Linked DNA regions of Macaca fascicularis. The protein of the gene in region 3 binds, or shares a complex with, the protein of the main gene of each other region. Links are inferred from orthologs where the notes say so. Each region holds a gene or a part of one and is shown on either strand. Other genes may lie near its edges.

What was found.
Region 1: ROPN1L (region 3) and NME5 share a complex: the UniProt entries of both Homo sapiens proteins name them as parts of the axonemal radial spoke complex. The link is inferred for Macaca fascicularis from reciprocal best matches to the Homo sapiens genes ROPN1L and NME5.
Region 2: ROPN1L (region 3) and LRRC23 share a complex: the UniProt entries of both Homo sapiens proteins name them as parts of the axonemal radial spoke complex. The link is inferred for Macaca fascicularis from reciprocal best matches to the Homo sapiens genes ROPN1L and LRRC23.
Region 4: ROPN1L (region 3) and DNAJB13 share a complex: the UniProt entries of both Homo sapiens proteins name them as parts of the axonemal radial spoke complex. The link is inferred for Macaca fascicularis from reciprocal best matches to the Homo sapiens genes ROPN1L and DNAJB13.
Region 5: ROPN1L (region 3) and DYDC1 share a complex: the UniProt entries of both Homo sapiens proteins name them as parts of the axonemal radial spoke complex. The link is inferred for Macaca fascicularis from reciprocal best matches to the Homo sapiens genes ROPN1L and DYDC1.

The regions. Positions count from the first base shown.
Region 1 is NC_088380.1:144,617,784-144,621,503, forward strand, and holds part of NME5 (nucleoside diphosphate kinase homolog 5), read right to left. Parts: intron 735-3,720; coding exon 529-734; intron 1-528. UniProt on the Homo sapiens protein: Functions as part of axonemal radial spoke complexes that play an important part in the motility of sperm and cilia. Does not seem to have nucleoside diphosphate kinase (NDPK) activity.
Region 2 is NC_088385.1:7,840,631-7,845,064, forward strand, and holds the start of LRRC23 (leucine-rich repeat-containing protein 23), read left to right. Parts: upstream 1-1,491; 5' UTR 1,492-1,634; coding exon 1,635-1,760; intron 1,761-1,845; coding exon 1,846-1,955; intron 1,956-2,392; coding exon 2,393-2,646; intron 2,647-3,603; coding exon 3,604-3,734; intron 3,735-4,434. UniProt on the Homo sapiens protein: Essential for sperm motility and male fertility. Plays an important role in the proper assembly of the third radial spoke (RS3) head and the bridge structure between RS2 and RS3 in the sperm flagella.
Region 3 is NC_088380.1:10,821,105-10,824,824, forward strand, and holds part of ROPN1L (ropporin-1-like protein), read left to right. Parts: coding exon 1-101; intron 102-1,659; coding exon 1,660-1,821; intron 1,822-3,720. UniProt on the Homo sapiens protein: Functions as part of axonemal radial spoke complexes that play an important part in the motility of sperm and cilia. Important for male fertility.
Region 4 is NC_088388.1:72,831,686-72,834,140, forward strand, and holds part of DNAJB13 (dnaJ homolog subfamily B member 13), read left to right. Parts: intron 1-286; coding exon of another isoform or gene 287-301; exon of another isoform or gene 302-716; intron 717-1,537; exon of another isoform or gene 1,538-1,888; intron 1,889-1,981; exon of another isoform or gene 1,982-2,070; coding exon 2,071-2,184; intron 2,185-2,455. UniProt on the Homo sapiens protein: Functions as part of axonemal radial spoke complexes that play an important part in the motility of sperm and cilia.
Region 5 is NC_088383.1:66,450,123-66,454,564, forward strand, and holds the start of DYDC1 (DPY30 domain-containing protein 1), read left to right. Parts: upstream 1-1,565; 5' UTR 1,566-1,902; intron 1,903-4,442. UniProt on the Homo sapiens protein: Functions as part of axonemal radial spoke complexes that play an important part in the motility of sperm and cilia. Plays a crucial role during acrosome biogenesis.

The DNA.
Region 1 (3,720 bases), about 130 Mb from region 3:
TAGATAAGGATCAAATATATTCACGTCTGCAGGAGGAATACACTGGGAAAACAGGAGTTCTCTGGATAAAAACGTGGTGTTGTTTTGTAAGAAGTAAAAAAGCAATGCACATTCAAAAGTGCAAGAACTCAATATCTTATTTCCATACATTAGCAATAATGCTGAAAATTTGAATTTCTGTTCCTGTATTACCATTATTATTTTAACATACCATCCCAATTTTTCCATCTAAAAATCCTACTTCAGTGGCAGTTTAAAGGTTGAGAGAATAAGGGTAATCAACTATAAATCAGACATTCTCTGATGCTTTTTCTGGCATGTAGTATTAAGATAGGCATTTAACACTTTAAAATGTAAAATGGACCCCCAGGCCCCGCCCCCTCCCAAAAAAAAAAAAGCTGATTTTGGAAAACTTCCAAATAATAAAACAAAAATTCCCATTACAATGAAATTAGTTTTGTTTGTTTTTTTTTTTCATTTTCACAGATGGATTCCATTCCCTGCCATCCCCCCAACCCTGAAAATTACCTGTCTGGATGTGTCTCCTTCGCTACTAAGCTATTATTTGGTCCCAAAAGTTCTAACCAATAAGAGATGGCTTTATGTCTAGCTAATATCATGGCGACAAGTGGTCCAGAACTCATGTAAGCTGTTAAATTGGGGAAAAACATTTTTCCATACTGTTCCACATAAAAGTTACTACATTGCTCAGGGCTGAGGTGTAGTTTTCTTCTCTATAAAAGACACAAAGTCAACAAAAGCATTTAAAATGACAGTTCAATGATAGCTCATTAAAATCATTACTAACTTGAAACTAGTACCAATCTGATTATAACTTCGAGGTTTATCTTTGTATTATGAAGAAAGAAAAGGATATAATTAAATGTATGTTGTAAATAAGATAGTAAGAGGAATTACTTCACCTACTTAAGAAAAATTATGGCCAGGTGCAGAGGCTCATGCCTGTAGTCCTAGCACTTTGGGAGGCCGAGGCCAGCGGATTGTCTGAGCTCAGGAGTTCGAGACCAGCCTGGGCAACATGGTGAAATCCTGTATCTACTAAAATTCAAAAAATTGGCTGGGCGTGGTGGCATGTGCCTGTAGTCCCAGCTACTCAGAAGGCTGAGGCAGAATTGCCTGAACCCGGGAGGTGGAGGTTGCAGTGAGCCAAGACTGCACCACTACACTCCAGTCCGGGCGACAAAGAAAAATTATTCCAGTTAGGCAGCCTCCCTCAGCATATGGTTTGTTAGTAACAAATTTATCACATCTCCTTCTTAAAGTAAATAACTCTTCAATTAATAAAACTGGACTTAATATTTCAAATTCATGTTTCTCTATTTGTGTTACTATTTTGGGAGCTGGTCTCATTAAGTATGAGAAATTATGAGTTATTTCTCATACTTAGAAATAACAGCTAGGCATAGTGGCTCATGCCTGTAATCCCAGCATTTTGGGAGGCCAAGGCGGAAGGATCGCTTCAGCCCAGCCAGGAGTTAGAGAGCAGCCTAAGCAACACAGGGAGACATTGTTTCTATGAAAAATTTTAAAATTAGTCGGGTATGGTGGTGTGTGCCTGTAATCCCCACTACATTAGAGGTAGTGAGCCATGATAACATAATTGCACTCCAGCCTGGGCGATAAAGCAGACCCTGTATCAAATAAACTAACAAAAAAAGTAATATGTAGTATAATGATGCAGTAAAAAAGTTTTTCATTTGAACATGTGTGTTCTTTATTCTGGTTCTGTCATAAATATCTTGATTCACTGTAACATGAAGAAAAATTAGGCCAGGCGAGGTGGCTCAGGCTTGTAATCCCAACACTCTGGGAGGCCAAGACAGGCAGATCACTTGAGGTCAGGAGTTCAAGAACAGTCTGACCAACATAGTGAAACCCCATCTCTAATAAAAATACAAAAATTAGGCCGGGCGCAGTAGCTCACGCCTGTAATCCCAGCACTTTGGGAAGTCGAGGTGAGTGGATCACCTGAGGTGAGGAGTTGGAGACTAGTTTGGCCAACATGGTGAAATGCCATCTCTACTGAAAATACAAAAAATTAACCAGGTGTGGTGGCACACGCCTGTGATCCCAGCTACTCGGGAGGCTGAGGCAGGAGAACAGCTTGAACCTGGGAGGCGGAGGTTGTAGTGAGCCAAGATCACGTCATTGCACTCCAGCTTGGGCAACAAGAGCGAAACTCTGCCTCAAAAAAAAATAAAAATAAAAATCAGCCGGGCATGGTGGTACATGCCTGTAGTTCTAGCTACTCGGGAGGCTGAGGCAGGCCAACAGCTCGAACCCGGGAGGCAGAGGTTGCAGTGAGCCAAGATTGCACCTCTCTACTCCAGCCTGGGTGACACAGCGAGACTCCGCCTAAAAAAAAGAAAAAAGAAAAATCAGGCCGGTGTGGTGGCTCATTCCTGTAATCCCAGCACTTTGAGAAAGAAGAGACAGGTGGATCACCTGAGGTCAGGAGTTCGAGACCAGCCTAGCCAACATGGTGAAAACCTGTCTCTACTAAAAATACAAAAATTAGGCCAGACGCAGTGGCTCACGCCTGTAATCCCAGCACTTTGGGAGGCAGAGGCGGGTGGATCACCTGAGGTCGGGAGTTCAAGACCAGCCTGGCCAACACGATGAAATCCCGTGTCTACTAAAAAAAAAAAAAAAAAATACAAAAAATACAAAAAATTAACCAGGCGTGGTGGCGGGCACCTGTAATCCCAGCTGCTTGGGAGGCTGAGGCAGGAGAATCACTGGAACCCGAGAGGCAGAGGTTGCAGTGAGCCGAGATCATGCCACCTCACTCCAGCCTGGGCAACAAGAGTGAAACTCCGTCAAAAAAAAAAAACAAAAACAAAAACAAAAATTAGCCAGGCGTGGTGGTGCATGTCTATAATCCCAGCTACTCAGAAGGCTGAAGCATGAGAATTGCTTGAACCCAGGAGGCAGAAGTTGTGGTGAGCCAAGATCGAGATAGCGCCATTGCATGCCAGCCTGGGTAACAGAATGAGACTCTGTCTAAAAAAAAAAAAAAAAAAAAAAAAAAAATCATGGTTGCTGAGTCTAATTTGAAAGTATCATGCTTTCTCTAGAAGCAGCTATTTTGAGTGCCATTTTTTTTTTCAAGGCGTGAGCCACTGCGCCCAGCCTTGAAGGTTTTTAAAAATTATTTATTATTGCCAGCCGGGCTCAGTGGCTCATGCCTCTAATCTCAGCAATCTGGGAGACCAAGGCAGGCAGATTGCTTGAGCCCAGGAGTTCAACACCAGTCTGGGCAACATGGCGAAACCCTATCTCTACAAAAAACACAAAAATTGGTGGTGCACACCTGTAGTCTCAGCTAATCGGAAGGCTGAGGCACGAAACTTGCTTGAACCCAGGAGGCAGAGGTTGCAGTGAACCGAAATCATGCCATTGCACTCCAGCCTGGGCAACACAGTGAGACTTGGTCTCAAAAGAAAAAAAAATGTATTACTACTGTTTTTTCAATTCCACTAAAGGTGGGTCAGGAGGGAAAATGCTCAAAATATAACAGAGGGATTCAAAGTAGAAATCAAAGAACCTCTGCCTGGAGTAAGGATGATGAGACATGGAGGTATGTCACTGAGGGAAGGCTAAAAATCCCCATGATTATGGCAGAAATCTGTCTTTCTAAAATGTCTTAGATTTTCCTGAGAGTAAGTGTGAATTTTACCAAGTGACCCACCTCTTAAA
Region 2 (4,434 bases), on a different chromosome or scaffold from region 3:
ACAACAAGATTGGTAACATCCCCCTTTCCCCAGGCAGGAATTGTGTCATCTTAACCTCCCTGAGCCTCAGTATCCTCTTCTTTCAAATGTCTGTCTTACAGGACTGTTGCAGAGATTAAATACCAGTTGTAAAGACGTTTGACATAATGTCTCGCACAAACTCTTCAGAAATATTTATTGCATCTCAACATCTTTTTCAACTTCTTCAACACGTCAGACAGGCCTGAGTGCCTGGGTTTTTGGCTATGCCAGTTCCTGTTGATTACTGATATAACAACGTTGGATCAGGAGTATTTCAGTGGGCAGATGTTGAATTTTCTGCCTTCCACCCACTAAAAGGTTTGCATCAAACCAGTCCAGGATAACTCATACTGGATCCCTGCCAGTTGATATAGTTAAGCTGATCTACAGATAAGAAAGAGTCTTGGGTACGTTTAGCTAGTAAATGCAGATCTGCCAAGACTCCAACCCAGTTCTTAAGATACCTGTGTCTGGGCTCCTTCCGCTCTACCAAGCCACCTTTCAAAGGTCTACCTGAAAATAACTAATGAGCAGAAACTACAGGGGGAAGGGGAAAAGACCCCTTATCTTGGTGTTTCTTGCTTTTCCTCGCAGCCCCGCCCTTTTTGCTTCGAAGGGTGAGTTTTTCCTGAATTCACAATACTTTTGCATTGAAGATGTCGGGGGTCCCTTTAAGGTCTTGGGTGACGTAATGACTAGCCCCGCCCTCTCTCTTCTCTCTTCTCAGCCCTGGCCATTTTTTTTTTTTTTTTTGTCCTCAACCAATTAGCGGCCCGACGCCCTTTCCGCGCCTCATCCGGGTTCCCGGGACTGGGAAATTGGCCTGGTAACCAGGCAACTACTGATCAATCCCCTCCCCAGCTGATTTGCGCATCAGGTAGTCGCCGCTCTGCGCTCAACGGTGGCGAGTTTCAGTAGCCAAGTGCCCCGCCCCCGTTGCCATAACAGCAGTACACAACCCCTCCTTCCCCTCGCCCGCTTGCTAAACAGTCCTTCCCTCTCGGGACCAAGGGCCTCTCCAGAACTGCTTCTGATTTAGCAGAAACAGGGTCTGAGCCCCTTTGCTAAGGCGAATTGAGTGGGAGGACTGGAGACTGCGCTTTAGGCTGGTGTACCAGAGGGCCCAAGGAAATTGGTCCAGTGGGGAGGGAAAAGTAGAAGAAATGAATGGAGCGGGGATTAGGGATGGCGCAGTGGGAGCTAAGAGGAGAGGAGGAGGAGGAGGACTTGGTAGGGAAGAGTGGAGAGCATGGCTTAAGGGGGAGGTGGGAAGAATGGGGGAGAGGGAAGCCCAGGAAATAGGGACACTGGGCTGCTGGAGGAGAGCTGAAGCCACTGCGAAGGACAGGAAAGGCCTGGGGGTGTGGGTGACATCCTGAAGGGAGGGGGTCCTCAGTGGAAAGTGTGAAGTGGGGGTTGAGAGTCAAAATGAGATGTTCACAGGGATGAGGAAAGAAGCCTAGAGTTGGTGGGTCAGAAGTGATGCGGGTGATGGGAGTGGCACGTGTCAATGACGATGAAGGAGCTGAAGGCTGGCAGAAGCTGAGGAGACCTTCTTTCTCAGGAGGAGGACTGAGCTTATCTGACTTCAGAGCTTTCAGGAGGGAAGAAAGATGTCAGATGAAGATGATCTAGAAGACTTTGAGCCAGACCAGGATGATTTTGAGAAAGAAGAGGACGAGAAGGAGACAGAGGAGGGGGAGGACTACAGAAAAGAGGGGGAAGAGTTCCCTGAGGAAGTGAGAGCCTGGACAAAGAGGGGTCCTAGGGCTGAGGGGCGGGGTTGGGCAGGGGAGGGACGCCTTATTCCACTTCCACCTGCAGTGGCTGCCCACGCCCCTCACGGAGGACATGATGAAGGAAGGGCTTTCTCTGCTCTGTAAGACAGGCAGTGGGCTGGCTCATGCTTATGTCAAGCTGGAGGTTAAAGAGAGGTGCGTTGTGGGGGGACCAGATGAGGACTGTGAGATTGTAGGGCCCCTGTCTCCTTTCCCACTGTCATTCCTGGGTGTTCTGGCTGAGAGTTTGACCCTTCTCATGCCTAGTGGAAAGGGAAGGACAAAATTTACTTTTCAGGAGCGCTGAGACTTCTATCAAAGCTGACCTGGGGAATTGGAGACTGAGAGTATATGGGGGGATTCCTGCTGGATTCCCTCATTTGTCTTTCAGAGTATGGGTTCTCTGTCCTTCACAGACACAGGTCTTTCTGCCCACTGTTAAGAACCCACCTACCTTCTCTTACCCTTCTTCTCGCCTACCATCTGTTGCCCATTCTTCTCCTCATTATAAGCCTTCTGCTTTAGCAACTCTGCCAGTCCTCGCTGGGTTCTTAACCCTAAACCTGGTTCCTTCTCCCTCTTCCATCTCCTAGGGACCTGACAGACATCTACTTGCTGCGCTCCTACATCCATCTGCGCTATGTGGATGTTTCTGAGAATCACCTGACAGACCTGTCGCCACTCAACTACCTCACCCACCTGCTCTGGCTCAAGGCTGATGGCAACCGGCTGCGAAGTGCCCAGCTGAATGAACTGCCCTACCTGCAGATTGCTAGTTTTGCTTATAACCAGATTACTGACACTGAAGGCATCTCTCATCCTCGTCTTGAAACCCTGAATCTCAAAGGTGGGTCTTTTTTTTTTTTTTTTGAGACGGAGTCTCGCTCTGTCGCCCAGGCTGGAGTGCGGTGGCCGGATCTCGGCTCACTGCAAGCTCCGCCTCCCGGGTTCACACCATTCTCCTGCTTCAGCCTCCCGAGTAGCTGGGACTACAGGCGCCTGCCACCTCGTCCGGCTAGTTTTTTTGTATTTTTTAGTAGAGACAGGGTTTCACCGTGTTAGCCAGGATGGTCTCAATCTCCTGACCTCGTGATCCGCCCATCTCGGCCTCCCAAAGTGCTGGGATTACAGGCTTGAGCCACTGCGCCCGGCCAAGGTGGGTCTTAGGATGGGCTACACAAGATTCTTTCCTTCCTAGCCTGAGGCCAACAGAAGTGGGCAGTATGGTCCTTGGCTATGGCACATGGCAGTCTGCATTCATTCATTCAGATACGCAATGTGATTCATTATGACAGTTCTACATGTTAACCATATAGGAGCGAATAAGACAAGAAATGTCCCTATTCTCATATAGCTTATATTTCTAGTTGGGAGAGACGTACAAGTAAAACAAACACAATACGTAAATTCATGTAGCATGTTAAAAGGAGACAAGTGCCTTGGAAGAAATAGATCAGAGTAAGAGGAATGGGGGACATAGGTGGCAATGTTAAATGGATTGGTTAGGACAACCATCACTGAGAAGATGACATTTGAGCAAAGAGTTGAAGAAGGAGAGGGAATTAGACATGTCAGCTGCTTCGTTCACTCTTCAAAGGCTTAGGTGGATATGTCCATCAGGACCTTGGACTACCACACCACTTGCCCCAGGGCTCTGGAGGTATTAAGTCTGGAGCTGTCCTTCCTCACTACTACCCTGCTTTGTGAATGTCCAGGATAGGGTGATTTAGAGGCTTCCCAAATTCAGGCTCTAATGCTGAACATTTGGAGTGGCCCTTTGAGCTCTTGAAACCCTCCTCCCCAGGAAACAGAATCCACATGGTGACAGGTCTGGACCCCCAGAAGCTGATCAGCCTGCACACAGTGGAGCTTCGGGGGAATCAGCTGGGAAGCACGGTGGGGATCAATCTTCCTAAGCTGAAGAACCTCTACCTGGTAACTCACTGGGTCATAGGGTGGTGCAGGGAAGAGGGCACTGTCCTGGGGGTCAGGATGCCTGTTTTCTAGTAGGCTCAGCTACTAACTTCTTCATTATGATAGTAACTGGTATTATCAAGCCCATAGTTGGTTCCAGATACTGTGGAGATACAGAGCCACCTAGCAGGGCTGATAATATATAATATGTGGATAATACAGAGATAATTTACTTTGATACAGGTAGCAGCAAAATGGACCATAATTGAGGTACAAACATCAGGCTGTGGAAATGTTTTAGGAAAACTCTCCTCTCAGATTGGGTTTTTCTTCAGCTCTTGCCCTAGCCACCACAGCAATAATCAACCTAAGACTTCCGGGGCCCAGGATGTGGGGTTTCTCCCCATACACCAAGTAGTAGATACCAGCTGGGTGATCTCTAATTCGATTCCGACACTATCTACCTGGGGATAGCATCAGATCCCACAGATTGAGGGCTCAGTTCCCAAGAGTGACCCCCACACCGTCCGCAGACACCAGTTGCAAGTCCAAACCTCCGGAACTTCTGACACATCAGCTTCAACATGAAGCTGGTTCCCATGACCTCTTCTTTGGATTTAATTAATTTTCTGGAGTGACTTTTTATCAGTTTATTGCAAGGGCAAAGGACACAGATGAAGAGATGCATAGGGCAAAGTCTGGGGGAATAGGTGCAGTGCTC
Region 3 (3,720 bases):
GAGATCCACTTCCTGTAAAGGACAGAATGGAAATGCCCACGGCAACCCAGAAAACAGACACAGGCCTGACTCCAGGACTCCTGAAAATTTTGCACAAGCAGGTATGGGGGGTTCTGTGGCCTCAGGCAACTGGCCTGTGCTTTCCTTACCATTCACTGTGCATTGATGACAGAGCGAGGCCCACCCCGGCGATGTATTTCAAACCTCCCAAGGTCCCTGAAGTCCTGCTTTTCCTGCCACGCATCGTCAAGGTTGATTCAAGGAAGAAATATGTTGTGTTTGGGAGGTCTTTTTCTAGCTTCAATAGCCCCAAGTAACTATCCAGGGGTAGATTTTACAAAAGTGAAATATAATTTCTTTTAAATACAAAATGTACATGACACTAGATTCTGCTGGGCGAAAAATACAAAATTCCAGAACCTGGGGGGTTTCCAGTCTGTTCTCCAGGTGTGCATTTGTGAAAGCTGTGTGCGGGCCTGAGTAAGCCTCTGCCTTCTCTGTCTGAAGGCGGGGCTGGACTTTGGCGCCCAAGGTGGGCAGCAGCCTCTGGTGTCCAGTTCTGTGGAGAGCCTGGGCCCCCTTCCTGCCTTGCACTTCTTCGCCCCACATGCCATCCTGTTTTTAGAGACATGAGTTACTAGAAAGTGGGTAATGGAGCAAGGCTAGGCATTCCTCATGACTCGGTTCTTTTGCTAACAGAGACACCAGTGGCATAACCTTGATTTTCAAACTGACTTACCCCGTTCTACATTGTGAAGTGCTGTACTTCTGCATAGGGTACAGTGAATTCTGAAACTAGGACTTTTCCATGGCTACCTTAAGGGAAATGAAGAACTCTTGAATGGTGTAGCTTGGGAAAAGACATGTTGAAATTGCTCAAAGCCTTTTCATCCAAGATACTGCTAGCAGATTGCAGAAGTTACCAGTTTTGATAGATTGTTTAAAATAGTAGAAGGAAGGCCGGGCATGGTGGCTCATGCCTTTAATCCCAGTACTTTGGGAGGCTGAGGCAGGCGGGTCACTTGAGGTCAGGAGTTGAAGACCAGCCTGGCCAACAAGGTGAAACTTTGTCTCCAATAAAAATACAAAACTTAACAGGGTGTGGTGCTGTGCACCTGTAATCCCAGCTACTTGGGAGGCTGAGGCGGGAGAATTATTTAACCCTAGGAGGTGGAGGTTGCAGTGAGCCAAGATCATGCCACTGCACTCCAGCCTCGGCAACAGAGTGAGACTATCTCAAAAATAAATAAATAAATAAATATATAGTGGAAGGAATACATTTATTTTCAGTTTTAAGATTTCTCCTAACTGTTAATGTGTTTAGGGGCTGGATTTTTAAAATGTTTTTTACTGAGGTTTATTTTTTATTGTGAAGCATTTCAGACAGTACTCAATATCAGTATGCCTGTTTCATTAAGTCAGAACATGATGCTGTATTCGCTTCACCGTCCTTTTTTCATTTAAGAAATAAAAGGTTGCCGCTTACTGGCTTCCCTGCCTCCCCTCCCCAGGGCTGACAGAACCCACTGTCATGCATTTGGAGTTCATCTGTCCCCTGCGTGGGGTGGGTTACTCGGTGTATGTTGAATTTTCACAGCATTCTAGTGTTTCCCAGGTTTTAAAACGTACGTAAATTGTCATACTGTGTTTTCTAAACAGTGTCACCACAAGCAGTATGTGGAATTAACAGATCTGGAGCAGAAGTGGAAGAACTTGTGCCTGCCGAAGGAAAAATTCAAAGCGCTCTTACAACTGGATCCTTGTGAAAACAGAATCAAGTGGATAAACTTTTTAGCACTTGGGTGCAGCATGCTTGGTGGGGTATGTACCTATAAACGCATGTCAGTCATTCTGTGTCAGCATGGTCCCAGCTTAAAAATCCTTTCGGTTTCCGTAACTAAAGGAAACACTTTAGTAACTTTGTCTTAGAAAAGCATTTCACCCTGCTCCAGGCCTATTATATTAATATTTTTGGGCTTATAGTTATTTTAATTTACAGAAATTACTTATGAATGCCTCAATTTAAAGGTTAACAGTAGATGAAAGATATGGATACTATTAAACTATATTTAGGTTTTAGAAGAAAATGCATCAATGACTTTTTAAAACTACAAATCATTTTGTAAACTGATAACTGTTTTCCTCATCTGTGGAAAGAGGCATATAATTATTTTCTACTTTAGTAGAAATCTATTATTATTATTATTATTATTTTGAGGTGGAGTTTTGCTCTTGTTGCCCAGGCTGGAGTGCAATGGCGCAATCTCAGCTTACCACAACCTCCGCCTCCCAGGTTCAAGCAATTCCCCTGCCTCAGCCTCCCGAATAGCTGGGAGTACAGACGCATGCCACCATGCCTGGCTAATTTTGTATTTTCAGTAGAGACGGGGTTTCTCCATGTTGGTCAGGCTGGTCTCGAACTCCCGACCTCAGGTGATCTGCCCACCTCGGCCTCCCAAAGTGTTAGGATTACAGGTATGAGCCACCACGGCGGCCTTAGAAGTCTATTATTAATAACTAATAGATACAGTGCAACTTTGCTGATGTTCGAGTATAAGCCAAGCGACTTAGGAGTAAGACATATCCTCCAGGTGACGAGGCGAGCCTGGGAGGTCGGGGCGAGAAGGGAGCTGGGATGATGTTGGCAGGACTTCCTTTGCAAACCCAGAGTCAGTCTTCTCAGCTAAAGTCTTGCTGTGAGACATGTTGGTTGGGTGAAGGAAGAGTAACCGGGCATCAGCCATGTGGCTTACGAAGAAAGGAGGCAGAGCAAGGAGAACCAGCTCCTTTGACTACATAGATTAACAATTTGATTTTACCCACTCCCTTCAGTCTGTGGCGCAGCGTGTATAACTGGACGCCCATGTGCTTGCTTCACAGCCCTCACTCAGCTTTGGTCCATGCCCAGAGCTCTTTCATTCCATTTTCATTAAAACCAATTCCTTGAAATGGGTGGTGGTAAACACCCGCAAACCTACCCAACGTGGTCGCTAACGCACCCACTTCCAACCACCCGTGTCCTCCTCCCGCATCCTGTCCCCCTGCCTGGTGGCCTGAAGCAACGACGTTTCTGAAGCTCCTGCTTCTCGCTCCCTGGCCTGTGAAACGCACACTTCTGTGTGTCCCCCAAGAGGTACATTGCGGAATTGTAGTTGGTTTTGACTTGATGAAAAGACAATTGTGTTGTTAGTAATTTTCTGAAATTTTCATTCTAAATTATATGACTAGATGTATTCATCTGTATATCACAGACCGTGTTGTTCTTTCCCTTCCTCTGCCATGTCACATCTGAGTGCAGCACAGCTCACCAGCTCGGCGGATGGCCCCAGTGGGAAGCTCCGTGCGCTCAGGGAGGCGGGTGTGGTGCGGCTGTAGAATGAGCAAGAGTTTTGTTGTGTAACTGCTCAAAGGCAATGGAGGTGCTTCCTGTCAGCCCTGGGCTACTTGTGCCAAGGCCTGGATGTTGGCAGGCCCGGTACCCTCCAGTAGCAAGGACAGGTGCAGATGGCACCAGGGGAGTGTCTCAGGGGTATTATCAAGATAGACAAAGGCAAATACATTTAATTATTGGAGACATTTTTATGTCACTTTGTTAATCTGGAACTCTGTGAAATCTGTCTATCTATCTATCTATCTATCTATCTATCTATCTATCTATCTGATCTATCTATCTATATCTGTATCTAGCTATATATTTTTTGAGATGGAGTCTCACTGTGT
Region 4 (2,455 bases), on a different chromosome or scaffold from region 3:
GACTGAGGAGGAAGGGAAGGGAAAAGAGGCAATACTTTTTCCTGACCCTGTGAGCCTTGGTCTGTAGACAGCCCAGTCTGCAGAGTGGGTGAGACGGGATCCCTAATGTTCCTTCCAAGGAACAGAGCCTTATAATGCTTCTGTGAATGGGCAGCCCAGGGACTGTCCCCATTTTACAGAGTGGGAAACGGGGACCCAGAGAAGAATGGGACTTGCCTAAGGCAAGAACATGAGAGCTGAAAGGAGATCCCAGTCTGAACTCCAGTGTTTTCCTGATTTTCTCCAGTGCTTCTCGGAATAAAGCCCAACTACAGGAGCTACTCAGAAATCATTTAATCATAATAATTTTATTTATTTATTTTATTTTATTTTATTTTGAGACGAGAGTCTCACTTTGTTGCCCAGGCTGGAGGGAGGTGGCACAATTTCAGCTCATTGCAACCCCCACCTCCTGGATTCAAGCGATTCTCCTGCCCCAGCCTCCTGAGTAGCTGTGACTACAGGCACGTGCCACCACGCACAGCTAATTTTTTTTTTTTTTAATTGAGACAGAGTCTCACTCTGTTACCCAGGCTGGAAGGCAGTGGCGCAGTCTTGGCTCACTGCAAACTCCGCCTCCTGGGTTCAAGTTATTCTGCTGCCTCAGCCTCCCCAGTAGCTGGGATCACAGGCATGCACCACCACACCCAGCTAATTTTTGTATTTTTAGTAGAGACAGGGTTTCACCATGTTGGCCAGGCTGGTCTCGAACTCCTGACCTCAGGTGATCCACCTGTCTTGGCCTCCCAAAGTGCTTGGGATTACAGGCGTGAGCCACTGCACCTGGCCACCTAGCTAATTTTTGTATTTTTATAGAGATAGGATTTCTCCATGTTGGCCAGACTGACCTCGAACTCCTGACCTCAGGTGATCTGCCTGCCTCGACCTCCCACAGTGCCTGGGATTACAGATGTGAGCCACCATGCCTGGCCTATTAGTAATACTTTTAAATTAAATACTATTTAAATAAAAACATAAAATTATTGTCCAAGGCATGCTGAGTCCTTAAGTCCTGAGAAGAGGCAGAATGATGGAGCATTCAGAGCCAGGAAAGATACATTCCTTTGCCTGCACTTTTTACCCCCTTTCTCACCTATGAAACATCTACCTCCGGTCTGGCTTGGTGGCTTACACCTACAGCCCCAGCACTTTGGGATGCCAAGGCAAGAGAATCACTTGAGCTCAGAAGTTTGAGACCAGCCTGGGCAACATAGTGAGACCTTGTCTCTACTAAAAACAAAAAAGTTAGCTGGGCATGGCAGTGTGTGCCTGTGGTCCCAGATACTCAGGAGACTGAGGCCGGAGGATCTCTTGAGCCCAGGAGGTAGGTCAAGGCTGTGGTGAGCTATGATCATGCCACTGCACTTCAGCCTGGGCAACAGAGAGAGACCCTGTCTAAAAAAAAACAAAAAACAAACAAACAAACAAACAATAAATAAAACATCTACTTTGAAGAAACATGCTTCAAAACCCAGCTCGTGTTTCCTGCTCTGGGCAGCCTTCTCTGAGCTCCAGGATCTGGGCCTCCCTTTATCATGTCTCGAGCTTGCTGAGGATTCACCGTCAGTTCCTCTCCCTCCCGGCCACGAGACTGGGAGCTCCTTGGGGTGAGGGACCAGTCTGATTCCTCTGTCCCCAATGCCCAGAAGAGACCTCAGCAGACTTGTGGTGACTTAATGACAGGGGTGTCATGCCTGGAGTTACTAGCAAGACAGAGACATATGGTCGGTTGCCTGACGCCCAGCTCAGTGTTCTACCTGCCGTCTGAGGAAACCTCTCCGAGCCTCCAGCTGAGTGGTCTATTTTGGGCATGCTCAGTACAGAAGTAATTCTGGGGGGATTCATCTGGGTAAGCTTCTCAGGCTTCTAATCTATCTGGGCTATGGGGGCCAAACTGAAAAGGCCCTTCCAGAAAACCTGCTCTCATCTCCCCATTGTACAGATGAAGACATGGAGACAAGTAGAGGCAGGAACTTGGCCAAAGTCACACGGCCAACTAGTCCTTGTCACCCTTTGGCGTCCCCTGCCCAGGGCCCCAACATCATCCCAGCAGACATCATTTTCATCGTAAAGGAGAAGCTACACCCTCGCTTCCGCAGGGAGAATGACAACCTCTTCTTCGTGAACCCCATCCCTCTGGGCAAGGTGAGTGGGCAAAGCGCAGGAGCAGCGGGGAGGGGATCGGCATGAGCCCCACCTGCCCTGGCCTAGACTTGGCCTCCCCTCCCGCAACCACCTGCCATCAGTCGCTAAGCCCTGTGGATTCCACCCTCCAAATCACCATCCACTTGGTCCCCTCTGCTCATCCTCACCGCCTGGATCTGTGCACCAGATCTGCACAGCAGGTCCTCCTCCCCACTTCTCATCTCCTCCAGGCTCTTCTCCTTAGAGATCCTGCCACACACTCATCGGACCC
Region 5 (4,442 bases), on a different chromosome or scaffold from region 3:
AGTGCAGTGGCGCAATCTCGACTCTCTGCAATCTCTGCCTCCTTGGTTCAAGCGATTCCGCTGTCTCAGCCTCCCGAGGAGCTGGGATTACGCCCGGCTTTTTGTATTTTTAGTAGAGACAGGGTTTCTTCATGTTGGCCAGGCTGCTCTCCAATTCCTGACCTCAGGTGATCCACCCACCTCGGCCTCCCAAAGTGCTAGGATTACAGGCGTGAGCCACCGCGCCTGGCCAAGGAGATGCCTTTTAAGGCCCACTCAGACCAATTTAGGGTACACTCACCAATTGGGGGAGAGGCTATTTTTCGGTGTTTCCCAGAACTCGCCTGACGGTCTGCTTACATTGTTCCTGGCCTGCACTCAATAGGCAAAATAAGAATAGGGGTTGTCTTTGTTTGCTGTATACCGCCCATGCTTGGCACACTAGGAGCTCAGTAAATATTTCTTGATTTATTCATTGAGAGCTCTGACGCCTGTGCTCATGCTTCCCTTTGATTTTTCCTTGCCCACTCTGGCACTTACTATCTCAACTAACATCTACTAAGGCCTCTCTTGCCCGGCACTGCCCCGCCCATAAGCTGAAAGAGAACACGGGAAAGGCTAGTACATGCACAGACGACTAGGCCGAGGAGGACTGCAAGGGCTTGGGCCTGGTGGAGACCGGACGGCTTCCTGGAGGTAAGGCACCCGAGTTGGTTCTGAAAGGAACCAAGCAGAGGTCACCAGCAAGAGCAAAGGTGCGGAGTTGTGAAACTGCCAGGCTATTAGCAGCTTGCAGTGACGGTCTTCCAACGACTCTAGGTCTTCCGCCCTTCTCCGATTGGCTGCCCTTCCTGGTTCCTCCTCAAAGCGCGCCACCCCCTCATCTCTCCCAGAGCATGCCTGCCTGCCAGCCAGGGTCCCTTGCTCTTTTCGGTCCCCCCACTCCTCCAGGTTTCTGTGCAGCAAGTCTCCTCAGCTCACCCACCTGCGCGCCGCCACATATGCCTTTCCTCGACCCTTCGTGCGCACACCCCGCTCCAGCGTGCCCGCTCCTCTCTGCTTGGCGCCCCGCTCCTACGCGCCCCCTCCTTCCCGGCCCCCGCCCCTTGGAGCGCGCCCGCTTCTCTCTGCCGCGCTCCCCTTCTCGCATTCCCTCTCCGCCACCTCGTGCGCGCTCTCCCTCCTGCACACCACCTCCTCTCTGCCGCACGCCCGCCCCCTGAACGCCCGCTCCTCTCTGGCCCCCTCCCCTTGCGCGCGCCCCCTTCTGCACGACCCCTTCTCTATGTCGCGCGCCCCGCTCCTGCACGCCTCCTCCTCTCTACCGTGTCCGCTCCACTCTGCCGCGCCCCCTCTACTCTGCCGCGCGCTCCTACCCCTGCACGCCCCCTCCATTCGGCCGCGGCCCCTCTACTCAGCGGTGCGCTACTGCTCCTGCACGCCCCCTCCTCCCTGCAGCGCGACCCCCCACGGCCCCCCCTTTCTGCTGCGCGTTCCCCCTCCACCGCCCACTGCGCGCCCTCTGCTCACCTACACGGGCTCCTGAGGCGCGCGCTCTCGTTGCCTGGCAACGGGACGCGGCTCCCGGGTGGCTAGCGTGCGCGTGTGTCGGGTGTGCGCACCGGGAAGGCCCGAACTGTTTTTGAGATTAGTTCCTCTAGCTTCGCTGGGTCCGGCGGGCAGAGGCGGTTCTGACCGTTGGGCCTTGGGCGTCGAGCAGGACTCACCTGAGGCGGAAGGAGGCCGCTTCGCGCCTGGGGCTCCCGAGAGCAGCCGGCTCTCCTTCTCCTGCTCGTCCTGAGCAGGGAGCGCTGCGTCTCTGTCTCCTGCGGGCTGCGGGAGACTCTTCCAGACTCCCGGGTGGGAAAACCACATCGAGCGCCCCGGGAGGTTGCCAGATGCAATACTGTACTGCATGCGCAGGTAACTGAATTTCAGATAAACGAGTTACTTTTCAGTACAAATATAGTATCACGCAAAGTTATTCGTTGTTTATCTGAAATTCAGAGTCACCTGGGCGAGCTGGGTTTTTAGTTGAGAAGTCTGGCACCCCTGCCCGGGTGCCCCTGCCCAGTCGGCTGGCTGTCTCCCAGGTGTGGGTAAGGAACCTCCTTCCATCTCTGTGGCACCTTCTTCAGGCTGTAGGCAGCTGTTTCTGTGGGAAACGGCTTTCTTATGTTGAGCCAAGATGCCTATTGGTGTATATGAAAAATAACATTGGTTACCACAGGAGAGATGGGTATTATCCTCGTTTCACGGACAGGAATATGCTAAGGGAGTTGGCAGGCCTTGCCTGGGTCCCACTGATATGCCCAGAAATCCGAGACAGAGCCTCCCCTGACTTGGCCCCACTGGTAGGCCAGAAGTTTTCTCTTTGGGGATAATGGCCCCCTTCCTACCTTCCCACATTTTATCTTTCTGGAGCAGTAATAGGAGTCTGTTCCCTTTTTTTTTTTTTTTTTACTTCAAATGACTTTGACATGTCTTTGTAGCGTTTTGGTCTTTCAGATACATCCTACTGAAGAAATACAGTGAAGATACTGTGTTCCAAAGTCATTTGTAATAATTCTTTTCTCTGTGTGGTTAAGACACCAATATCAACCTGATTTGGAATTAGGTTCATTAGTGCCAGTTTGCTTTCAGTTTTTAGAGTTTTTATGACTATGTTTATATATACACATATTCCTTTCCTCACTGCTGTTGCTAATGCAAAAGATGACGGATCATATACAATTTCAGCACCTTGTTTTCTTTATTTTGTGTCTTAGAGATCACTCTTTAGTTTCTTCATTCTCTTGTACATCTGCATAATAATCCATTGTGTTGCTCTTATTAATCCCCAATTTGATGAACATTTAGATGGTGCTTCAGTGTGACTATTGTAAATAATGCTGCAAATACCTGTGTGCATATGCCATTTCATATTTTTGCAACTATATCTTTGAGATAGGATCCAAGAAGCAAGATTGATGAGTCAAAGGGTGAATGCATATGTGATTTTCTAGATGTTGTCAAATTCTCCTCCATAGGAGTTACACCATTTTGCCTTCCCACCACTGTCATATGGCATATGCGCATGGTTATGCATAAAATTTCAGAGACACTGAATTTTTCCATAGAATAAAAATTGGGGGTTATGGACGGACCCCCAGATGTCAGTGTCTCTGAACTTTTATGCAAAATGCTAGGTGCATTTGTCCAGGGACAGGTTTAGACACAGTGGCATTCTATCCCCTATAATTGCCATGCTCATTCTTATATCAGGGCCTTTCCTCATACCTAGAAGACTCTTCCTTCTCTTCTTTGTCATGTTAATTTTACTGTTTTTTTTTTTTTTTCTTTTTGGGTAAATGTGAGCTTAGCTCAAATGTCACCCCCAGAGAAGCTTTTTTTTTTTTTTTTACTTTCCTGACTTGATCAGCTCCTCCTCTCCTCTGGTCTCATAGTACTTATTTTAACTTCAATTTCATATTTATTGATTTAAATATTTATCTTCCCTTCTCATCTGTAAGCTCCATGAAGGCAGAGACTGTTTTTGTTTTAGTTTGGGCTGCTATAGCAAATTACCAACACTGGGTGGCTTAAAAACAGTACACATTTATTTCTCATCATTCTGGAGGCTGGAAAGTCCAAAATCAAGGCATTGGCATTTCTGGTGTCTGGTGAGGACCCTCTGCCTGGTGTGCAGGTGGCTGTCTTCTAGTTTTATTCTCAGATGGCAGAGAGTGAGAGCAAGCTCTCCCGTCTCTTTTTATAAGGGCATTAATCCCATGCATGAGGGCTCCACACTAATGATCTAATCACTTCCCAAAGGCTCCTAATACCATCACATTGGGAGTTAGGATTTCAACATACAGATTTTTGGGGACACAGACATTCAAGCCACAATAGTTTTGTATTCCCAGTACCTATCATGGTGCCTGACCTACAACAGGTATTTTTGTTTGTTTGTTTGTTTGAGATGAAGTTTCACTCTTGTTGCCCAGGCTGGAGTGCAATGGCACAATCTCAGCTCACTGCAACCTCTGCCTCCCGGGTTCAAGTGATTCTTCTGCCTCAGCCTTCCTGGTAGCTGGGATTACAGGCATGTGCCACCATACCTGGATAATTTTGTATTTTTAGTAGAGACAGCATTCACCACTATGGCCAGGCTGGTCTCGAACTCCTGACCTCAGGCGATCCTCCAACCTCAGCCTCCCAAAGTGCTAGGATTACAGGTGTGAGCCATTGCACCCAGCAAATATTCATTATACATTTGTTGAACAATTGATTACATTTCATCAGACTATCAGGAGAGTCTGAATTTCTTAAAATATTAAGGGTAATCTGAGGGTGATCAATTTTTCCAAAGCACCTGAAAGAGATTGGTTGCTGCGTTTTTCCTTTTCTGTTTTAAAAACAATCTGGTCTATGATTATTCCTGTTTATCTTCATAACTGGAAGGAGTAGGACATAACTGGGAG